Macaca fascicularis: one gene and its partner. The protein of the gene in region 1 purifies or fractionates together with the protein of each later gene. This does not show direct contact. Links are inferred from orthologs where the notes say so. Each region holds a gene or a part of one and is shown on either strand. Other genes may lie near its edges.

Region 1 (3,820 bases):
CAAGAACTGTTGTAAGTGCTTTGTACCTAATTTTTTAACCCTTTCAACAACACTGCGTGGCAGATTCTGTTTTTCCCTCATTTTACAGATGGGGAAACTGAGGTACAGAACTATTAGGTAACTTATCCAAGAGTAACCCAACTGATAAGCATCAGAGCCAGGATTTGGGCCCAGCCATTAGGCACTAGACTTTCTGCTTAATCAAGACAGATAAAGATTGACCTGATAATATTAGTAAATGGAGTATTTTTGATTGGGGACCCTACTTTATCACTTCTACTCAGATTAAAGAAAGATTGACTTTACTAAGTCTCAAGATACCGATGTAAAAGCATATTGCACCCGGACACAGTGGCTCATGCCTGTAATCCTAGCACTTGAGGAGACCGAGGTAGGCAGATCACCTGAGGTCAGGAGTTCGAAACAAACCTGACCAGCATGGTGAAACCACATCTCTACTAAAAATACAAAAATTAGTTGGGTGTGGTGGCAGGTGCCTGTAATCCCAGCTACTTGGGAGGCTGAGGCGTGAGAATCACTTGAACCCGGGAGGTGGAGGTTGCAGTGAGCCAAGATTGCATCACTGTACTCCAGCCTGGGCAACAGAGCAAGATTCTGTCTCAAGGAAAAAATATATATATATTGCAGTTTAAAGTTGGCATTTCCATGTATTTTTGCACACAGATAATTGTATAACTCTAATGAACTCGTTATGTGATTCTATCCTTTGCCAGTTAGTCCACTCGATTATTTGAGTTCCACTTTTATATATCGTTCATCCAGTTTTTAAATGCGGGTGCAGCATTTGCCATCTGCAGGCTCTGTGTGAGGTATTTTACATGTATGACCCCTGTAATCTTTCTGATAATCATGTGGGAAAACAGGCTTTATGAGATCAGGCAGCTTGTCCTTAGTAAGAAGAGGGGAAAGGGTTTGACACTTGGTCTTGCTACAGAGATTTTTAATATTTCACCAAGAGGAATGGAAGAGGCATGCATCTAAATAAAGAAACTGGTAAGAGGAGCTTTCTGGAGATGCTAGTAGAACATCTGGGTAGAAATGTTGAACAGGTCTTTGGAAGTGACTGTCAATCAGGAGAGAAAATATACTGAATCTGAAGGTTAAATATCTACGAGTGGTAAACAAAGTTTACAGAGAAAATGAGCCTCCAGGGAAAGAACAGAGAAAGGACAGAAGTGTTAGGATAGAATTGTTTGCAATTCTGGTTCTAGAAGTTAAACTAGCAGGAAAAAGAAGAGAGAAATAAAACCATGAAGAGTGCTTCATAAGCGAAAGCAAGGGAGAAGAGTCTGTCAAGAAAAAGGACATGATCAGAAGTGGAAAATGAGTTAACGAAATCAAGGAGATGAGATATGAGAAAAAGTCCTTGGAGCTTGGCGATTTACAGTTCTTGGTCTTCTTGGAGAGACCCATTTAAGTGGAGAAGTGGGTTTGGAAGTTGGCATATATCTCTGAAGTTTGGCAAGAGTAGAAGGAGCCCATGTTGTCTGTATTGGAGACAATATGTTGGGATTTTTTTTTTCCTTTTAAGGTTAAGGGGGACCTTAACATTTTTGTAAATGGAAGTGAAAGATTCCAAGAAAAGGCAGGAATGGAGGGGTAACTGAAGGAGCAAAGATGGGTTATGATAGCATCCTCTTGGGAGGGATTGGTGTCAGCAGTGGGGGTGCAGCCTCAGGGAGCAGACAGCCACTTCAGCAAACACCTTATGTGTGCTCTGGTTTTTTGAACATCCTGAATTTTTTTTTGTTTATTTGTTTATTTATTTATGAGACAGAGTCTCACTCTGTTGCCCAGGCTAGAGGGCAGTGGTGTGACGTCGGCTCACGGCAACCTTCGTCTCCCGGGTTCAAGTCAGTCTCGTGCTTCAGCCTTCTGAGTAGCTGGGATTACAGGAATACATCACTACACCCAGCTAATTTTTGTATTTTTAGTAGAGACAGGGTTTCACCATGTTGGCCAGACTGGTCACGAACTCCTGACCTCACGTGATCCGCCCATCTTGGCCTCCCAAAGTGCTGGGATTACAGGTGTGAGCCACCACACCCGGCCGATTTTTATGATTTCTTTCTGTTTATTTTTATTATATATACTTGGATCTGATGACTATAATAGTGATGCCGGTTGAGGTCAGTTTAGTGGTAAAAACTTTAGGCTCTGGGGTTTGACCGACATAGGATTAAATTTAGGCTGTAGGCCAGGTGTGGCGGCTCATGGTTGTAATCTCAGCACTTCAGGAGGCCGAGGTGGGTGGATCACTTGAGGTCAGGAGTTTAAGAGCAGCCTGGCCAACACAGTGAAACCCTGTCTCTACTTAAAATACAAAAAAATTAGCCAAGCGTGGTGGTGCATATCTGTAATCCCAGCTACTCTGGGGACTGAGGAAGGAGAATCACTTAAAACCGGGAGGCGGAGGTTGCAGTGAGCCGAGATCAGACCATTGCACTCCAGCCTAGATAACAGAGTGAGACTCCATCTCAAAAAAAAAAAAAAAAAAAAAAAAGGCTGCACCACCTAGCTGTTGTATAAACTTAGAAAAGTTATTTAAATTCTTGAGGCCGCATTATCTTATAGAATTAATGTAGAGCTTAAATATGACAATATATAAGTAGGATACTTACTCAGTGCCTACCAAATACTTGGGTCTACAATTAATGTTAACTATTTACTGTTATTAAATGAGACTTCATGTATAGCAAAATGGAGCCCTGGAAGTGATGTATTATTTGCTGTGTTTCCTCAGGTTTCATTTAGTGGAGAAATTGGGTATGACCTTGTAGGAGTTAAGAGAGAGTTCTTCTACTGTCTGTTTGAAGAGATGATCCAGCCAGAATATGGGATGTTCATGTATCCTGAAGGGGCTTCCTGCATGTGGTTTCCTGTCAGGGTAAGTTCCCTTTTCTTCGCTTACGAAACATAGAAAATTAGTTTGTCTAGACTGTTTCGTGTTAGGTGAGGAGTTGTGGATATAATTGTGGAGATAATCTATAATTCTAATAAGGTGATTATTTTTTTAAAATGGAGTTTCCTTTTCCTGGGTTCCCATATCTGTCCACATAGAACTCAAGCAATGTGTTTTTTTGATCATTTATATAATGCATGTATTAAAAAGGAACCCTTTTTTTTTTAGGTAGTCATTCTTTGTGTCAGTTCTGTTTTCCCAGTGAATTTGAAGACAAAGGCTGTGGAAAGAAATTGTGAAAACTAGTTTATAAGGATTACTGAACCTAATGTATTTTTATTGCTGGTATGCTTTTAGGAACCAAAACTGTGGCAGAGATTTATTTAGTTGTTTGTTTCTTTTGTTTTGCTTTGTTTTTGAGACAATCTCACTCTGTCACCCAGGCTGGAGTACAGTGCCATGATCTTAGCTCACTGCAACCTCCACCTCCCAGGCTCAATCCATTCCCGCCTCAGCCCAGCGGGATTACAGTAACTGGGATTACAGGCTCCCACCACCATACCTGGGTAGTTTTTGTGTTTTTTAGTAGAGACAGGGTTTCACCAATTTGGCCAGGCTGGTCTGAAACTCTTGACCTCAGGTTGTCTGCCCACCTTGACCTCCCAAAGGGCTGGGATTACAAGCATGAGAGTGGCAGGGATTTAAATTGACTCAATGACCAAATATTAGGTTGGTGCAAAAGTAATTGCAGGTTTTGCCTTTACTTTTAATGGCAAAAACTGCAATTACTTTTGCACCAACCTAATATAAGCCCTAAACATTCTTATCTCAGGCTTTAAATTTTTCAATTTGAGATTTGATTTTATGAAAGAGGAACAAAGATTTATTTAATATAAA
Region 2 (3,820 bases), on another chromosome or scaffold:
CTCTAGCCGTTGGATGGCTAAGCATAGTGATCAATAAATAGGAATTGTATTCGTTAGTAAGTAGGAAGTATGGCTGCGATAGGGGTAGGATTCTGAAATGTTTGTGTAGTCAGAACTACTTTTAGTTGTTCCCAATAGATTTATTGTGGTGGGAATTTTAGGCTAAGAAAATGATTGTGTTGAGTTGTATGCCAATTCTTCCTTCTGTTTTTCAGGCTACTGTTGGATTGATTCGAAATCTTGCCCTTTGTCCAGCAAATCATGCACCTTTGCGTGAGCAGGGTGCCATTCCACGACTAGTTCAGTTGCTTGTTCGTGCACATCAGGATACCCAGCGCCGTACGTCCATGGGTGGGACACAGCAGCAATTTGTGGTGGGTAAATTCTTATAGTGATACCTGGCTGTCTAAAAGGAATGCATAGATCCAAAGATCTGAACTTCTTTGGTCATTTGTTCTCCCCGTCCCTTTTCCTGAAGAGCTGATGACAAAATATGACTGCAGAGAAGATAAGGCATAGTGTGGCCCCAGTGATATTTCCTTGGACACGTCCTTCACATGGTCAGTCTTACAAAGGTTGGGTTAGGCATTTCATGTAGTGTTCTCATTTAATTTACACAAAGGCCCACTTAGGAAGAGGTAGAGTCATAATTTGAGACCAAATCTGTGTAATTTCAGAGCTTCTTACCCTTGCCTCATCATAAATTTTGACAATAAATATTTAGCAGTCCATTTTATTATCTTTTCTGTGAGTTAAACTTTTTTCATGGACCTAAGAATATAGTATAGACATACTTCAAAAATAAGTAGTAGCATTTCTGTACTCTTAACCACAATAGTCTCAACCTGAAGCTTTGATACAAAGTTTGAGTCTTAAAAGTAGCTTCATTAAAAGTATAGTCTGAAGATACTTCTGATTTCTCAGACTTTAAGACCTTATTTAATTAGGTTAGTTTAGAAAACAAAGATGGAGCCTACCAGAACAGATTTTAGGAATCTCATTTTGCTGGTTGCTTTGTGTATGTACTCATACTGGGGCTTTGGCTTGCTTCATTTATTACTGTTGGTATTGGCCCATCTCCATGAGGTGACTTAATAGAATGTTGAGGGAATCTTTTATTTTAAATCTCTTTTCTAGGAAAAAAGGAGTTTTTGTATCCTTGCAAGAATCAAATTATTTATAAAAGCTGCTAAATGTAGCAGAATCATAACCCCTTTTAAAACTCAAATCCAGAAACAGGAGAAACAGATGGTACTTAAATATTGCAAAAGCTAACTTCTCCTATACATGAGACTGTCAGCTGAATAGTCTTGGAAGAGTGAGGAGTGGATTTTTCTGCTGGCAACTCAGTTAGTTTTAGCAGTTGGTGCTAAAACTTGGCAAAGTTTTCACCAAATACATGGAAGATGTACAAAAATAGAGGGGGCATGTAAAGGAAAAACGTTGACATAGTCTGAGCATTACTTTCTCATCTTCTCTTTTTATATACCTTTTACTCAGAATGATTGGTGCCCTTACTGTAGGAAAGTTGTCTTCGGGATTCAGTGCTATGTGGAAGCTCTGTTGCACTGTGTATGGGGAAGGGGTGCTGCCTTGAATTAGTGCTGCCAGGAGGCCTCTTTTCAGTGACATTCAAGTTAATGGAATCCTCCTTCATTCCCAAACGAATTGCAAGTTATGGGGAACTTCGGGTATATAATGTAAATAATTATAGTCTAATAATTATTCCTCAGAATGCAAAGCCTTTCAAGTTCAGAAACTTTACAGAGGAGAATGCCCTATTTGTTAACCATGTTTCTTTTGGCAGGAGGGGGTCCGCATGGAAGAAATAGTTGAAGGTTGTACTGGAGCCCTTCACATCCTAGCTCGGGATGTTCACAACCGAATTGTAATCAGAGGACTAAATACCATTCCATTGTTTGTGCAGGTATGTTGTTTTTAAGTGTTCTAGGTTTTATGTCCCTAAAATTTCCAGATTGTAATGACTAATAAAATTTCAGAAAATTAGGGACCATAATAGGGGCACCAATATTTAATTTTATGAAAATTCCCTTCAGTTTTTTGGTCAGTAGGAGAAATATTGAGACTCGAGAAGAGGGAGGAGATTTCACATTTCACTTTTACGGGTGCCTAGTTTTAGAGGGGAGAGCTGACCTGGGCTGCCAGAGGCGGGACATAGGCCCCCAACCAATTCTGGATTTTCCAAATCTTAGGTCAGTTAGAGTTGCCTCTGAAGAAAGGGTTTATAGCTAAAAAGTATTCTGGAAATCCAATGCTCTAGGGTATTAAACACCCTAGGACATAAAATTCAGAGAATATTATTTACTACAGTGTGAATGCCTCTTGCACTCTGAATTCGGAATGTTTGCACCACAGTGGGGGGCTTGTCATGTTTTAGCTTTAGATTTAATTAGGTTTTGTTTGTGTTTTCTCCCTAGCTGCTTTATTCTCCCATTGAAAACATCCAAAGAGTAGCTGCAGGGGTCCTCTGTGAACTTGCTCAGGACAAGGAAGCTGCAGAAGCGATTGAAGCTGAGGGAGCCACAGCTCCTCTGACAGAGTTACTTCACTCTAGGAATGAAGGTGTGGGTAAGTAAAAAGGAACCAAAGCCTTTAGCAGATGTGTACATTGAAGTCTCAGTTTTTCCTCAAGGGCCTTTTTTTCCTTGTCTCTTAGCGACGTATGCAGCTGCTGTTTTGTTCCGAATGTCTGAGGACAAGCCACAAGATTACAAGAAACGGCTTTCAGTTGAGCTGACCAGCTCTCTCTTCAGAACGGAGCCAATGGCTTGGAATGAGGTAGGGAAATGTGAGCAGTTATTTATCTGGTAGTTTCCTAGAGTGGATAAGGCAGCTTGTTCTTCTCTCAAAACACTTAGTATACATTCATTTGCATTGATGTTTCCCTGGCTTGAGTATTTCTTCTTTATGCTGTCCAGCAACTGCCCTAAGGAAGAACTATAACACAAACTTTAAAGCGCCTGTTCAGAATCATTACAAATAAGTTGTGCTATTTAAAATTATAATTCATAAGGGAGAAAGATGAAAAATGTTACCAGATTAAAGATGATTTTTCAAAAGGATGTAAGGAAAGAGGCAGTGTTAAACACTGTTAGAGGACAGTTTGTCAGTAGTTTTTACTAAACTTTAATAAAACTTTTCTATTTGACTTTCTGCTATGAATTTGTCTTCAGTATTTGTCCTCAGTACAGGTGTCCTTTGAAACATTGTTTCTAATAAAACTAGAACCACCCTGGAAGTTTATTTTATCCACTCTGTAGTGATCACTGATGGTACACAGTCATAACAGTGGATTATATTTGTTGAGCGAATGGAAAGAGAGATTATTAGGTTTAAAACGATGCAGCTCTTGAGGCCAGGAGTTCAAGATCAGCCTGGGCAACATAGTGAAACCCCATCTCTACAAAAAAATTTAAAAATTAGCTGGGCATGGGGATGGATGCCTATAGTCCTAGCTACTGGGGAGGCTGGGACAGGAGGATTGCTTGAACCCAGGAGTTAACAGACTGCACTCAGCAACAGAGCCAGACTCCAACTCAAAAAAAAATAAATAAATAAAGGAGAGCAAATTACCAGTGAGTGGTGTGTTACTTGGGTTTTTAATAGGCATCTTATTAACATGTTCCAACTTGAGCCCTTAACTTTCTCCACCTACCCCCTTCCACAAACCTGTTTTGACTGTCTTCTCTGTCTTGATGTCAGCTTTGTCTGTCCAGCTGCTCAGGCTAAAACTTTTCTTTCATACAACACATCCTGTCAGCAGCTCCTGTTTGGGGGTAGGCATTTTGCCTGTTTTTTT

Evidence for each region.
Region 2: the proteins of HERC5 (region 1) and CTNNB1 purify together in Homo sapiens (affinity purification with western blotting; 3 studies listed by BioGRID). This does not show direct contact. The link is inferred for Macaca fascicularis from reciprocal best matches to the Homo sapiens genes HERC5 and CTNNB1.

What each region holds. Positions count from the first base shown.
Region 1 is NC_088379.1:94,039,991-94,043,810, forward strand, and holds part of HERC5 (E3 ISG15--protein ligase HERC5), read left to right. Parts: intron 1-2,764; coding exon 2,765-2,908; intron 2,909-3,820.
Region 2 is NC_088376.1:104,080,224-104,084,043, forward strand, and holds part of CTNNB1 (catenin beta-1), read left to right. Parts: intron 1-215; coding exon 216-374; intron 375-1,807; coding exon 1,808-1,927; intron 1,928-2,438; coding exon 2,439-2,589; intron 2,590-2,677; coding exon 2,678-2,799; intron 2,800-3,820. UniProt on the Homo sapiens protein: Key downstream component of the canonical Wnt signaling pathway.